Linked DNA regions of Macaca mulatta. The protein of the gene in region 3 purifies or fractionates together with the protein of the main gene of each other region. This does not show direct contact. Links are inferred from orthologs where the notes say so. Each region holds a gene or a part of one and is shown on either strand. Other genes may lie near its edges.

Region 1 (3,500 bases), on a different chromosome or scaffold from region 3:
CACATCATTGATTGCCCTCCAGCCTGGGCAACAGGAGCGAAACTCCATCTCAAAAAAAAAAAAAAAAACACACACACACAAATGAACTGTGTAATCGAACACATTGGTTTGGTAAAGGGAAGAGTTGTAATTTTTTTTTTTGCTTTTTTTTTTAAATCTAGGAGAAATAACAGCTGATAAGAATAATTTAGTGGAGAAATAAAACCTGATAATTCAAGACAAAGGTGGTAACTGTTGGAGCAATTAAGTAGAAAAGTGGTGGTAGGAATCGAATGTACCAGCAGAGGGAGCAGACTTTGATAATAACAATGACAGTTCATCTACAGAACAGGAGGGAGGAGAGGTGGTAGGAGATGCACAGATATGGTGGTACAAATTTGCAAAAGACCTTTTATGATTGCTTCTACTTTCTTAGTTATGCAAAGACATTACACCTTAGAGTAAGAATGAAGGAGACATCTGTCAACTGCTTAATTCAGTTATCTTTAAATCTGGAAAATCATTTCACTGACCATCTCATTGCAGCAGTGTCATGTGGCAGTTAAGAGCACAGAGTCAAGAGACAGACTGACTGTCATAGTTAGAAACCAGCTCCACTACTTGCCTTATAACTTTGCACAGTTAGTTACACTCCCTGTATCTCTCCTCACTTGGTAAAGAGAAAAATAATAGTATCTACCTCAAGGGGTTATTGGAAGATAAAATGAGTTAATACCTATGAAGTACTTAGAACAATCCTTCGCACATAGTAATCACTACATAAATAGTTGCCATTGCTATTATTAAGGAATGACATGCTGCAAATCCATCGTCAAATGAGAGCAAAGACAGCTATACTAACGTATCACTTGTGTAGGTTTTCTTGAACCAAAAAGTAAAATATTTTTCTAAACTTGAGGATAAGTTAGAGACTAACTCTCATGTGCTCACTAAGCAACATTTAAAGGAGAACCTCAGGTTTTCACTCACACAGATGACTTCCCATTGCGAGGATCTTTGAATGTTGTTGTTCTTGTGTTATGATCAACAAAGTACCTTACACCTTCACGAGTGTATCTAATTTCCCAGCCTTCTGGCAGGGGTTCTTCATTCTGTAAGCTAAAAGATAAAGTTAAAATCACAAGATGAACATTTTCTAGGTACTAAAAATATCTCATTCAAGGTTGGTTGATTCTACCTACAGATATATGCAAGATGATTTAAGGCTGCTGTATATACATACCCTTGAGTTCTTGGATCTTCCCATTGGGTTGTTTTTGTGTTGTGATTCACAAAGTAAACCCTGTCTGTTGAATCCACTCTTTTCTCTGAAATATAAAGTGACCATAATATTTAATAACTATTTGGGATCTATATATAAAATAAGGAATATATATATGATTATTATATATTATATATAAATATATATAAAAATATATCAGGGATATATGTATCGCTTATATGTCTTATAGAATATATACAATATATAATCTATTCTATACATAATATATATTATATAAATAATTATATATTATATAAATAATAATATATATTATATATTATAAGGGGTATATATTAAGGGATATATATAAGGGAGATATACATATAAAATAAGGGATATATATATGGAGATATATATATCTCCCTTACGGATCATTAGCAAAAACATAACGGCTTACCCCAGCCTGGTGGCAAAGGTCCATAAGGGTCATTTTCTGCAGCTAACATTGAGGCCTGATTGGAGAAAAGATTGGGGAGAGAAATAAAATAACAGTATTTTAATATGGAAGTGGAAATAAGCCAAGTGCATGGCAGAATCACATTTTATAATAATTTTCTAAAAATATGATAAGGGGCTGGGCACAGTGGCTCACGCCTGTAATCCCAGCACTTTGGGAGGGCAAGGTGGGAGGATTACTTAAGCCCAGGAGTTCAAGACCAGCCTGGAAGACCCTGTCTCTATTAAAAAAAATTTTTTTTTAATTAGCCAGACATGTTGGCACATTTGCCTAAAGTCCCAGCTACTTGGAAGGCTGAGGTGGGAGGATCACTTGAGCCCAGGAGGTGGAGGTTGCAGTGAACTGTGATCACACTACTACTGCACTCCAACCTGGGCAACAGAGCAAGAAGCTATCTCAAAAATAGATCTATATTATTAGATAGATAGATAGATAGATAGATAGATAGATAGATAGATCGATCTACATAATAAGGAAATGTAGCAATTTCAAGACACAAAGTTCTTTGTTTTTTTGAGACAGGATCTTCCTGCTCTATTACCCAGACTAGGGTGTAGTGGTATGATCTCAGCTCACAGCAGCCTCTGCTTCCCAGGCTCAAGCAATCCTCCCACCTCAGCCCCACCAAGTAGCTGGGACTACAGACATGCACCACCACACCTGGCTAATATTTGTATTTTTTGTAGAGACAAGGTTTTGCCGTGTTTCTGAGGCTGGTCTCGAACTCCGAGGCTCACGTGATCCACCTGCCTCGGCCTCTCACAGTGCTGGGATAACAGGTGTAAGCCACCACTCCCAGCCAAGACACAAAGTTCATAAAACGTCATGAAGAGGAGACTATCAACTAATCAAATTAATTATTAGTTTTTCTAAAATGATTTAAAAATAATACACTGGCATCAGTACTTTACTCTCCCAGTCCTTCCATACTAAACTATAGAGGGAAGATGAAATGGGAAAAGAACATACAGGAAATTGATGTTTAAATGAGGCAATATTATTTGTTTAAAAATAGACCAATTATCACAATTTTCTTTAAAACAAATGCCCACTAATAAAACTAACACTCAACTCCAGTACCATTTATAGAAATAAACTTTTAATTAGTATCTTTTATATTTTCATGCATACATAAAAACACATTTTTATGTAAGCCTCCATTCTTATTATAACCTAGAAATATATTCTGAGGAAAATATAAGCATTCTATCAAGAATTTTATAATAATGACAAATGTAAAAATAATTACCTGAAAAATAATTTCTTAAAGTAAATGCATCTTGATGAATATAATCTTGTAACAGACCCTGTTAATTATACTCAATATTTATCTTCCACCTGTTCTTGAGAACCAAATCCCTGCTTTGTTGGAGGTAGAAACGTGGCCATAAAGATCATTCCATCCCCCTTCCCTTGCAGCTGAGCTGGTAGAGTGAACAATTCTGGCCAGTGAGGTATAGGCAGAGGCCATGGTAAGGGCATCCTTCACTAAGTAAAAAAGGCAAGGGCTTGCAACAACAGAGCCATCTGCCCTTTCAATTCCTCTTTCTCTTTCTTCTTGCCTAGACTATGGATGTGAGGCCCACAGTGTAGAGTTCCATATAAACGAAGTAAAAGGCCTGAAGTGTGATACGGATGGCAGAGCATAAAGGCAGAAAGAACCCAGGTCCTTGATGACACTACTGAGTCAATGCAGCACTTAGACTTTTACCCCAGACCTGATGTTGTACTGAGATAATTAAACCTCAATGTGTTTAAGGAGATTCTATTACTTGCAAGATA
Region 2 (3,500 bases), about 120 Mb from region 3:
CAAAGAGAGACACTAACAAACCAGCCTGTGTACCTGGGAGAGCATGGCTACACAGGTGAAGGTGCTGAGCCCTGACACTGTTGAGGATAAAGAGGCTGCAGGGTAAAAGCTCTCTCCTAGTGCAGAGGCTGCAGGGTAAAATCCCTCTCCTACTGTAGAGGCTGCAGGGTAAGAGCTCTTTCCTGGTGTAGAGGCTGCACGCACTGGACGATAACTTGCATGCATGCACACATAAAATGGGTGACTATTCATGTGAGTGCCTTGGAAACAATTTTTTTCCTCAATGGGCAATTGGGCTGCACAATCTCTAAGGTTTTTTCCAACACTAAGAAACTCTAATGCTATAATCATAAATTAGCATAAATTATCTCATTAGCAGTAGTATACATTATATACATCCAGTCCTTCAAACCATTTCTGATGTTTTTACCTCCTTACTCTACCTTCAACTCTGCCTGACCAGAGTAACCCCCATCCACATTTTCCACATAATTCACCTCTGAAAAGAAGTTACTTTTCTGCTGAGACACCCATGAAGACTTACCCCAGTTTCTGCAGGTTACATTGTGGATTCTTGGCTTTTTCACATAAAATTGCGACTCCTGCGTCTCCCAGGGCATTCTCCCCCACGTAGAGTCTGGTCAGGGAACGGCTGGTGCTCAATACTGACGCAAGATCCTGACAACACGCTGATGTGAGGCAGCAGCTGACCAGCCTTCCACAAAGACGGCAGAATGTCAGTCATGTCTCTCACCCACGCTCCACCATGAACAAGGAGGCACCCGTACCTGCCACTGCCTCTACTCCAGTTTACACATGGAAAGGGAGTGGACACAAGCTCTACGTACACTTCTGATTTCCTCTTCCATCTGGCGGAATAACAAGCTCGCACCAATACTACATCTTCCCAGCTCCCTACATTCAGCTTTATTGTGGTGAAATACGTGTAAAATGAAATTTACCATCTTAACCATTTTTAAGTGCACGATTAACGGCCTTAAGCACATTCACATTGTTGTGCAACCATCTTCACCACCGTCTCCAGAACTCCTTTCATCTTGCCGAACTGAAACTCCATAACCATTAAACAATGTCTTCCCGTTCCCCACTCTCCCATTGCCTGCAACCACCTTTCTTTCTGTCTCTATGAATCTGACTATTCTAGGCACCTCTTATCAGGACAATCACAGAGTATTTGCCCTTTCAAGCCTAGCTTATCTTACTTAGCATAATGTCCCTGAGGCTCATCCATGTTGTAGTGTGTACTAGAATTCCTTTTAAAGCTGAATGTACATATATAGCACTTTTCAACACCCTTTATCCGTTGAAGGACGTTTGGGTTATTTCTACCTTTTGGCTAGTGCTAATAGTGTTGCTATGGACATGGGTGTACAAATAACATGTTTGAGTTCCTGCCTTCTTTTTTTTTTTAACTCTTCCTCGGTTACCCAGGTGGGAATGCAGTGGCATGATCTTGACTCACTGCAACCTCCGCCTCCCAGGTTCAAACGATTCTCTTGCCTCCACCCGGAGTAGCTGGGATTACAAGCACGTGCCACCACGCCTGGCTAATTTTTGTATTTTTAGTAGAGACAAGGTTTTACTATGATGGCCAGGCTAGTCTCAAACTCCTGACCTCAAGTGATCCACCTGCCTCGGCCTCCCAAAATGCTGGGATTACAGGTGTGAGCCACTGTGCCTGGCTGAGTTACTGCTTTGAACTCTTTTGCAGATATACCCAGGAGTGGAAATGCTGGCTTCAATAGTAATTCTATATTGTTTTAGGAATTGCAGTGCTGTTTTCCACACTGGCTGCATCATTTACTTTCCCACCAGCAATACACAATGGCTTCCATTTCTCCGTATCCATGCCAATACTTGTTTTCTAGTTTTCTTGCTTTTGTTTAATAATAGCCATCCTAATGGGTGAGAATTGGCCCTTCCATTTTTAAGTGTTTTTTTCTCTCCTTCAAAATGCAAGTCTCCCAGAAGCATTCAGGGAAGGGCTGCATACAACATCGAGTGTCTGCACTGCTTTAGCACCATTTTTCTTATACAACATGAGGACCCAGGGCTTGTCATGAAATTCTAAAACTCCTCTAAAGCAATGCATTACACTGGTTTTCTTCTTTTTCTCAGCTAAGGCAGTGGGCACCCTACAGGCAGTCATCTTCTTTTTTTATTACTTATGCCCCTTGTCAGGGTTGAGTGTGTGACATTCCCCACAGCAAACACTAACTAACCGAAATGCCACAGACACCCAGAGACAAGCACACACAGCCACCTGAGCCGCCGAGGCCACTGTCACTCAAACTCCAGCCCCCCAGGCCTCACTGAAGCCAGAGTGCGAAACATGCCTTGTTGGCAGGGCTTCCTTTGGGGAACGGGCTCAACTCACCAGAGCTTCTTCAGATTGCACAACAGGTGCTTCAGTCCCACACACAGAAGTCTGATCCCGAAGTCCCCAAGGGCGTTGTCGCTCAGGTCCAGCTCCACCAGCTTCTGGTTGCTGCTGAGGACCAAGGAGATGTCGAAGCAGCACTCATGCGAGAGGCCGCAGCGCCCCAACCTTCATGCCAAGAACAGAGGCAGAAAGCGTCAGAACACATCTGACCAGAGAACTCCGGAATACAGCACAAGGTCAGCCCTCAGGCTCCCCAGTCACAGCAGAGGGAGCACCCGTCAGTGAATTCCCGGCCATAAACAGTGCCGGGTGCATTGCAGTCACCCCCCAGACAAGTGAATGGTGAGCTCCTGGCTTGTAAGTGAAACGGGTGGTGTGGGCCTGTGCACTCCACCTCCTTCCCTTGTGTTCCTAACTGTTGATGTGCCCGCAGTCGGCTCTGCCCTCGCCAGCGCTGCACTCAGCTATTTCTTGTCTTTACCAACATTGTCACCCCATTGTGCTTGATGATTTCATCCCAGCCATCCATCTATATTGAAAGGAAAAGCAGCTCTGATTCTTTTTCTCTTTCTTTTTCTTTTCTTTTTTTTTAGAGACAGGGTCTCACTTTGTTGCACAGGCTGGAGTGCAATGGTGAGATCATAGCTCACTGCCACCTAGAACTCCTGTGCTCAAGGAGATCCACCTGCCTCAGCCTCCCAAGTGGCTGCAAATACCAGCATGTGCTACCATGCTTAGCTATTTTATTTATTTATTTATTTATTTATTTATTATTTTGTAAAGACAAGGTCTGACCAGCTTGCTCAGGCTGGTTTTGAACTCCTGGGCTTATGATCTGCCCACCTCAGCCTCTCAAAGTGCTGGGGTTCCGCACCCCGCTGCAGCTCTGATTCTTTATTGGTTTCACCGTTACACACATGCACACACACACACGCACATCACTACCACCGTCACCACCACCACCAGCAACAAAAATGTATCCCTGTCGTGGGGGCGAGAACGACATTCTAGTTTCTTTCCAGGGCAATAGTTCATAGGTCCTGGAGCCTGTTAGACCACCTTCCTTTCTGTCCCTATCCTTACACCAACTTCAAGC
Region 3 (4,132 bases):
CAGCTGGCCAAACGAAACCAGCAAAGAATGAAACCAACAAAGGGAGGGTAAGGGTCTCTTCTGGCTTGAATTTATAGTGCTCTAGTGACCGATCTTTCTTCTCTTTTCCTTCTTACTGTTTTCTAAACCGTTTAGGGAAAAACCTTTGAAAATATTTTTAAAAATTGTTCCTTCAAACAGGTGTATGGCCATCTCTCCACTGGAAATTTGGATATAAACAAGAGGACTTTCTTGCTTTTAACCAGATTTATGGATGTATATTTGATTTAGTGAGTTGGGAGAGGGGAGGGAGACAAGAAAGAGTGAACATAACTCTGGAAGAAAGTGAAAAAAGTGAAGCATCCTTGTTCCCCGCCCCCCCACTTCCTTTTCCTCCAGAAGCAGGTAGGGAGTGCGAGATTATCAGCGCCTGGACACACCTCACTAAAGAGGTAATGAGGTAAATGGGAAACACAGACAAAGTGTTCCCCAACTTTGCAGGCAGAAATTGAAGAGATAACAGGATAAGCAACAGGATGTAAACACGCCTGTCCTATTTCCGTGCCAGAGAACAGAGAGAACAGAAGAGAGGGTACAAGGGGCGGGGGGTGACGAACAGCACACGCACGCAGCCCCCAGCCCTAGCCCCAAGGGATTGGAACGGGAAGTAGAAGACATCAGTCCTACAGCCGCAATGAGGCCTGAAAGTTCTCCTTTCCCTCAGAGATGGTGGTGTTTTTTTACATTTAATAGGGATGCGGGGCAAGAGAAGGACAAAGGGGCTGTTCCTTAACAGTAACACCAAGCATTCTGTGCTCCACGGCCCCAAACCTAAAAGTATTCTTGGAGCTATGGGATTTTCACACACTTGCTATTTACGAGCCACGAATAAACGACAGACTATAAAGTAATTGCACTGGCTAAGACTAGGCATGAAATTCCCTCATAAGCACATTTTCTTTTTACCTCAAACCACCGCTCTCAGACCAGAAACGTCCACACCCGCCCTCCGATGGCCTGTCGCCCTGGCTAGGTTTTAGGGTCAGTGGTATCCTCCTTCCACTAGGCCCGGGTGAAGACTCAACAGCCCCCTCCTTCCCCGCATTCCTCTCCTTCCCCCCTCCCTGCGCCGCTCCCGAGCACAACAACCATTTTCCCCGCCAGGAGCACACCGTGTCCACGCGCCTCAGCGATCTCACTGATTGGTCGGGCTCCTGGTAAACAAGGACCGGGCAGCCAATGGGAGGGATGTGCACGAGGGCAGCACGAGCCTCCGACCCAGCGCTCGCGTGGCTCTTCTGGCCGGGGCTTCTATATAGAGCCGTTTCCGCCTGCTGCTTGAAACTAACCTCTCTTTCTCTGTCAAGAAGTGCTTGCGGAGATCGGATCTCTTCTCCAGCAATCGGGGAAAAGAAGACTTTTTCTCTGAAATCGCTTAGTGTAACCAGCGGCGTAAATTTTTTGGACGCCTTTTCGAAAACCTAGTTAAAATTCATTTGTTTAAATCTCATTTTATTTTTAAGCTCAAACTGCTTAAGAATATCTTCATTCCTTAGGAAGAGTGAAATAATTTACTGCAAAGGAATTTCCTCGATTTGGTGCATTTTTTTTTTTATTCTTCCACGGTCTTTTCTAACTCTCAAACCAACTCCGTCCCATCATGGTGATGTTCAAGAAGATCAAGTCTTTTGAGGTGGTCTTTAACGACCCTGAAAAGGTGTACGGCAGTGGTGAGAAGGTGGCTGGCCGGGTGATAGTGGAGGTGTGTGAAGTTACTCGTGTCAAAGCCGTTAGGATCCTTGCTTGCGGAGTGGCTAAAGTGCTCTGGATGCAGGGATCCCAGCAGTGCAAACAGACTTCGGAGTACCTGCGCTATGAAGACACGCTTCTTCCGGAAGACCAGCCAACAGGTAAGCGGCCCAATTCATTGTTGGAGGGTGAAAGCTGATTAGAGAAGAGAATTGAAAGGAATACACAAAACTATACGAAATGTTTTAAGTTGCTCAGTTTGAGTGGTGTGAATTGCACGTTGTTACTTCCTTTTTTCTAATTTGCAGACATTCTCCCCCCCACACCCCCCAAAAAAAAGGGTGGTTTGTACAATTTTTTATGGTGCTGTGTCCTAAAGGTGGTTCTGAGGGGCATTGCCTCGGATAGTTAAAAATCTTATGTGTGCATTAGTTGCTTATTCTTTGCCTACTTCCTGTTTGAGATGTTAGTGAAGAACTGTCCTGGGTGAATCTTTAAAAGCATTGCAGGGCAACCTGGGAACTTGCTGCCCAACAAAATACATCAGAATTTCTCTTTAAGAACAACATGGGATGATTAAAATACCTCTCTGTGGGACGAAATTAGGGGTACTTCAATACCTTGCATGCCACCCAAACATTCCTTATCACACAGATGCATTTTAAGTGTAACAGGAAGCCTAATGGCTACTCGATTTTCTTTCCCTTCAGGTGAGAATGAGATGGTGATCATGAGACCTGGAAACAAATATGAGTACAAGTTCGGCTTTGAGCTTCCCCAGGGGTAAATATCAGCTAAATGCATCTTTGAACTTTTCTGTCTAAAATATCTTGCCCTCCTTTGATCACTTACTGTTCCTTGGAGAGCATTTAAAAATTTTCATTTTCTTGACACAGGCCTCTGGGAACATCCTTCAAAGGAAAATATGGGTGTGTAGACTACTGGGTGAAGGCTTTTCTTGACCGCCCCAGCCAGCCAACTCAGGAGACAAAGAAAAACTTTGAAGTAGTGGATCTGGTGGATGTCAATACTCCTGATTTAATGGTGAGATTCATTTTAAAGATTATATTCTCCTGGGTCACAGGGATGATAAATCAGATGTCTTGGGCATTAGATTAAAGCATCTCAAAACACTTTTTTGTCCCCTTCTACATAGGCACCTGTGTCTGCTAAAAAGGAAAAGAAAGTTTCCTGCATGTTCATTCCTGATGGGCGGGTGTCTGTCTCTGCTCGAATTGACAGAAAAGGATTCTGTGAAGGTAAAATCCTAGTGCTTATGGCAGACAGATATAACAGGAACTAGGTTTAGGGGCAAGGGCATGGGACTGGGGTAGAGGAAATGTCATTAACTATACTGAGTATCAGTAAGTTTTCATTTTTCTCTTTGCTAGGTGATGAGATTTCCATCCATGCTGACTTTGAGAATACGTGTTCCCGAATTGTGGTCCCCAAAGCTGCCATTGTGGCCCGCCACACTTATCTTGCCAATGGCCAGACCAAGGTGCTGACTCAGAAGTTGTCATCAGTCAGAGGCAATCATATTATCTCAGGGACATGCGCATCATGGCGTGGAAAGAGCCTTCGGGTTCAGAAGATCAGGCCTTCTATCCTGGGCTGCAACATTCTTCGAGTTGAATATTCTTTACTGGTGAGTAGATGCAGGGTGGGTTCAGCAGAGAAATTGTTCATCTGTTACCATAACTGTCTTGTTTCACCAGAGCGCTCTGGTCTAACAAACTACCATCTTCCTTTTCTAGATCTATGTTAGTGTTCCTGGGTCCAAGAAGGTCATCCTTGACCTGCCCCTGGTAATTGGCAGCAGATCAGGTCTAAGCAGCAGAACATCCAGCATGGCCAGCCGAACCAGCTCTGAGATGAGTTGGGTAGATCTGAATATCCCTGATACCCCAGAAGGTGAGCCAGACCTAATGTCTTTTCTTCATTTCTGGTCTACCTGGGTTTGTAAAATTGTGATGGTCCAGCATTTCTTGGGCAGGCTTCTTACGTGGCCATATTTTCTTTTCTAGCTCCTCCCTGCTATATGGATATCATTCCCGAAGATCACCGATTGGAGAGCCCCACCACTCCTCTGCTAGATGACATGGATGGCGCTCAAGACAGCCCTATCTTTATGTATGCCCCTGAGTTCAAGTTCATGCCACCACCTACTTATACTGAGGTGAGAATTGTCATATTTACTGTTAAATTTGTCCTAAGCTTTCTATAAGAAGTTGACTTAGAGGGATTGCTAAACTGGTTTGTTCTTTTAGTTCTTACCTGAACTGAAATAGTCTGTTTCTTCCTTTAGGTGGATCCGTGCATCCTCAACAACAACGTGCAGTGAACATGTGGAAGAAAAGAAGCAGCTTTACCTACTTCTTTCTTTTTGTCTCTCTTCCTGGAC
Region 4 (3,339 bases), on a different chromosome or scaffold from region 3:
GGTTGGGGGCTGTCATCCCCTGGCCAACCTGGCTCTGTGTCCTCAGCCCCAAAGAGGGGCCCCGCTGAGCTGGAGAGCTCCACGTTCGGGCTAAGTACTGGGCCCGTGGGTCGCCTGACTGTGCCTTGACTTGCGGACTTCCAGGTGGTGAAGGAGATGGACAATGAGAAGAGGATCCGGCTGCTGCAGTTTGTCACTGGGACCTGCCGCCTGCCCATCGGCGGATTTGCTGAACTCATCGGTACATTTTCTCTCGCCCTCTGGTGTCCTGGCTGGCAGTGAGGACAGCTCAGAGGGAGGGGGGAACCTAGTCTTTTCCTGGAAGCACGTCAGTGGGATGGAGAAGAGCTGAGGCCTCTGTGTCCTGGGGCTGAGCCCATCTGTGGGTGGAGCCGGAGGGTCCTGCTTTGGGAAGGCACGTCTCTGTTGACATGGGTGTGTTTTACCTTGGATCACAGGTAGCAATGGACCACAGAAGTTTTGCATTGACAAAGTTGGCAAGGAAACCTGGCTGCCCAGAAGCCACACCTGGTGAGCCTTCTAGTTTTAGTGGGACGTCGGGGGGCCTCAGACCCGATGAGCTCCTGGGACAGCCCAGTGGGTGTAGCAGCTTCTTAGCCTCGAGTCTGACAGCTTTTGCGTGGCCCTGGGGTGTTGGGTTGGAGAGATGGGGCTGTGATGGGCATCTTATCTGCCGGGTTTTACATATGAAGCGCTTCTGTTCCAGTAGTCCAAGAGCTACTGCCCTAAGTGTCCCCCCAACCAATTTCCAGCTGTCCTGGCCCCTCCCTTAACACCCCATGGTCCAGGTACCTGCAGTGTAAAGGCCTGACTGGCAGCCCCTGAGCCCTAGCCAGTGTGGCGCAAGCCCTGTGGCCCTGCTGCAGGCAGGCAGGGCGGGGCTGTCAGGGCCCTGGCCTCCTGGGGCTGACTGTCGTGCTTTCCCCGCTCTCGATAGCTTCAACCGTCTGGATCTTCCTCCCTACAAGAGCTACGAACAGCTGAGAGAGAAGCTGCTGTATGCCATTGAGGAGACCGAGGGCTTTGGACAGGAGTAACTGAGGCCGCCCCCCCACACCCCCCAGTGCACACATAGTCCTGAGTCCTCCCTGCCTGGGAGGCCACCGGCCCTGCAGCCCTTGGGAGGCCCCCGTGGATGTGGCCCTGTGTGGGACGACACCATCATCTCGCTTCTGGCAGAAGAGCCTGATCCCAGGAGGCCCTGCAGTTCCCCCCACCCATGGATGGCAGTCTGGAATAAAGCCCCCTAGTTGCCTTTGGCCCCACCTTCGCAAAGTTCCAGAGGGGTGACCCTCTCTGCAAAACTCTCCCCCATCCCCTAGACCCCACCCTGGGTGTGTGTGTGTGCAAGGGAAGGTGTTGCATCCCCAGGGGCTGCTGCAGAGGCCGAAGACCTCCCGGACTAGTTTGGCCAGGAGACCGGCTCCTGGGGTGGGCTGGGCTGTTCTGGACTGAGAGCCAAGGGTCTTTGCCAGCAAAGGAGGTTCTGCCTGATGATCGAGACGAAGTGAAGGTCTGAGGGCGACGGCCCTGGGGCGAGGCCATCTCCGCCTGCCTCCCTAGCAGGCAGCAGCAATGGAGGCTGAGTCGCAGGACGCATGCTGGTCAGTTAATTCATTCTCAGCAAATGAAGGTTTGTCTAAGCTGCCTGGGTATCCATGGGACAGAAACAGCAGACTCCCTCAGACTTTCTTTTTCCATTTATAAACTTGAAGCGGTTGTGTTGTAGGGTTGCAGTTTTTTTTGTTATGCTGCTGTCACTTTCTGTCCAGGAGTTGGCACCCCAGGCGTTCTGAGACCTTGAGGGACCCAGGCCTTTGGGTCCACGAGTTTCCCAAACAGCCACGCGTCTCAGGAACCTGCCTGGTGGTTCCGTGAGCTCAGGCGGGCCTGACCCAGCGGCGCAGCCTGGCAGGGACCTCGTCCCCGAGCCTGGCAGAGTGGGAGGGGTTGAGGTCCCGAGCGCCACTCCTAGCCTTGCCGCCTTCAATAGAGAAGAAATCCCTTTGCTAGATAGGGTCCCCCAGGCAGTCCCCAGTGGCGGGACACAGGGATCCGGCTGTGGAGCTCTCCCGTCAGCCCTTGGAGTTCCAGGTGGGCCTGCTGGTCCCCTGTTCAGAATGGAGTGCGGCCCGGCCAGCGGAAAGTGTCCATTCTGCGTAGGTGCTTTATCTGCACACAGGACGTGGAAACCAGCAGAAAGGCCCTGACCTGCTGCATAGCCCGGTCTGATTTCTGCAGTTCCCACCAGCCTCCAACCCGGGGACTCTGCCATAATTGGAATCTTCACAGGTCACATTGAAATCTTCAAGATGACCATGCCCCCCCAGGATGCTGGGGCAGTAATCATGGCAGACTCCCTGCCCGGGCCCCCAGGATTCTAGGACCCCAGGCAGCCCCTTGGCCTGGTCCCGGGTACCTTCCAAGCACAGTCTCCATGCTCCCAGATTCTCGACCTTTCCCTGGCCGGGGAGGTGCAGCCTGCGTCTGCCTGTGTCATGTGTGCTGATTTGAGTGGCTCAGCTTGCCACAGCGCAACCTCTTCTGTCCCTTTCAGTCATTTGCCGTACTTCCCTGCGGCACGCCACCACGGAAGCCGCTCCAGGGTGGGTCAGGGCGTAAGCTGCTGGTGAGGTTTGGAAGCATCAGGCTCACGGGTGTTCGTGTGTGTTCGTGCGTGTGTGTGCGTACGTGTATATAACTGAAGTGTCTGTACGGAATGCCCTTTGCTAGCCATGGGCTGGTCACCAGACTATTTTGTAATACCCGCCCCCTGCCTCGATATTGCCAGTTTCTTGTGCAATAAACAATCAGCAGCTGTGGGTGGTGTTGGTGTGGATGTTTACAAACCTGTGGTCCTCTAGTCAAGAGGACTCTGGTCCTCACAGACCCTCCAGGCCTGGATAGGGGTGGAAATTCCCTGACCTCGCTGGTTTTGAGAAGCCTGTGTGTCATGGACCGAGGCAGCCCCCAACTTCTGGGCTGGGCAGCTGAGTCCTGGCCCAAGGATCACCAGCTTCAGCCCCTGATCGGCCACCTCACTGCACCCTTTCGGGACCTCTGCGTCCCCCTGCCAGACCCGGGGGGGTCTCCAAGCAGTTGCTGTGGGGTGCAGAACAATAACAGCTGCAGGTTGGGGCTTCCGAAACTGGCTTGCAGGGAGAGTGTTCTAGGCAGTCATTCATTCAGGAAATACTCAGGTTTCGCAAGTTCCACGACGGTCGATGGTCGAGGGACTCTGTGATCTTGACCTCAGGGTCACGTAAAGGCTTGCCACCCACTGTTTTTGGTTTTGACAGATCACCATGCTGATGGGTC

What was found. The genes of interacting proteins can lie anywhere in the genome.
Region 1: the proteins of TXNIP (region 3) and WWP1 purify together in Homo sapiens (affinity purification with mass spectrometry; 4 studies listed by BioGRID and IntAct, counting the BioPlex papers as one, with this or other methods). This does not show direct contact. The link is inferred for Macaca mulatta from reciprocal best matches to the Homo sapiens genes TXNIP and WWP1.
Region 2: the proteins of TXNIP (region 3) and NLRP3 purify together in Homo sapiens (affinity purification with western blotting, with the first as the bait; 4 studies listed by BioGRID). This does not show direct contact. The link is inferred for Macaca mulatta from reciprocal best matches to the Homo sapiens genes TXNIP and NLRP3.
Region 4: the proteins of TXNIP (region 3) and WWP2 purify together in Homo sapiens (affinity purification with mass spectrometry; 3 studies listed by BioGRID and IntAct, with this or other methods). This does not show direct contact. The link is inferred for Macaca mulatta from reciprocal best matches to the Homo sapiens genes TXNIP and WWP2.

What each region holds. Positions count from the first base shown.
Region 1 is NC_133413.1:96,905,414-96,908,913, reverse strand, and holds part of WWP1 (NEDD4-like E3 ubiquitin-protein ligase WWP1), read right to left. Parts: intron 1,714-3,500; coding exon 1,659-1,713; intron 1,308-1,658; coding exon 1,223-1,307; intron 1,099-1,222; coding exon 970-1,098; intron 1-969. UniProt on the Homo sapiens protein: E3 ubiquitin-protein ligase which accepts ubiquitin from an E2 ubiquitin-conjugating enzyme in the form of a thioester and then directly transfers the ubiquitin to targeted substrates.
Region 2 is NC_133406.1:1,600,925-1,604,424, forward strand, and holds part of NLRP3 (NACHT, LRR and PYD domains-containing protein 3), read right to left. Parts: intron 2,570-3,500; coding exon 2,399-2,569; intron 716-2,398; coding exon 545-715; intron 1-544. UniProt on the Homo sapiens protein: Sensor component of the NLRP3 inflammasome, which mediates inflammasome activation in response to defects in membrane integrity, leading to secretion of inflammatory cytokines IL1B and IL18 and pyroptosis.
Region 3 is NC_133406.1:119,305,212-119,309,343, forward strand, and holds the start of TXNIP (thioredoxin-interacting protein), read left to right. Parts: upstream 1-1,332; 5' UTR 1,333-1,639; coding exon 1,640-1,889; intron 1,890-2,438; coding exon 2,439-2,511; intron 2,512-2,624; coding exon 2,625-2,772; intron 2,773-2,884; coding exon 2,885-2,987; intron 2,988-3,119; coding exon 3,120-3,376; intron 3,377-3,485; coding exon 3,486-3,642; intron 3,643-3,755; coding exon 3,756-3,907; intron 3,908-4,036; coding exon 4,037-4,072; 3' UTR 4,073-4,132. UniProt on the Homo sapiens protein: May act as an oxidative stress mediator by inhibiting thioredoxin activity or by limiting its bioavailability.
Region 4 is NC_133425.1:65,564,776-65,568,114, forward strand, and holds the end of WWP2 (NEDD4-like E3 ubiquitin-protein ligase WWP2), read left to right. Parts: intron 1-144; coding exon 145-241; intron 242-458; coding exon 459-531; coding exon of another isoform or gene 532-535; exon of another isoform or gene 536-564; intron 565-887; exon of another isoform or gene 888-958; coding exon 959-1,058; 3' UTR 1,059-2,839; downstream 2,840-3,339. UniProt on the Homo sapiens protein: E3 ubiquitin-protein ligase which accepts ubiquitin from an E2 ubiquitin-conjugating enzyme in the form of a thioester and then directly transfers the ubiquitin to targeted substrates.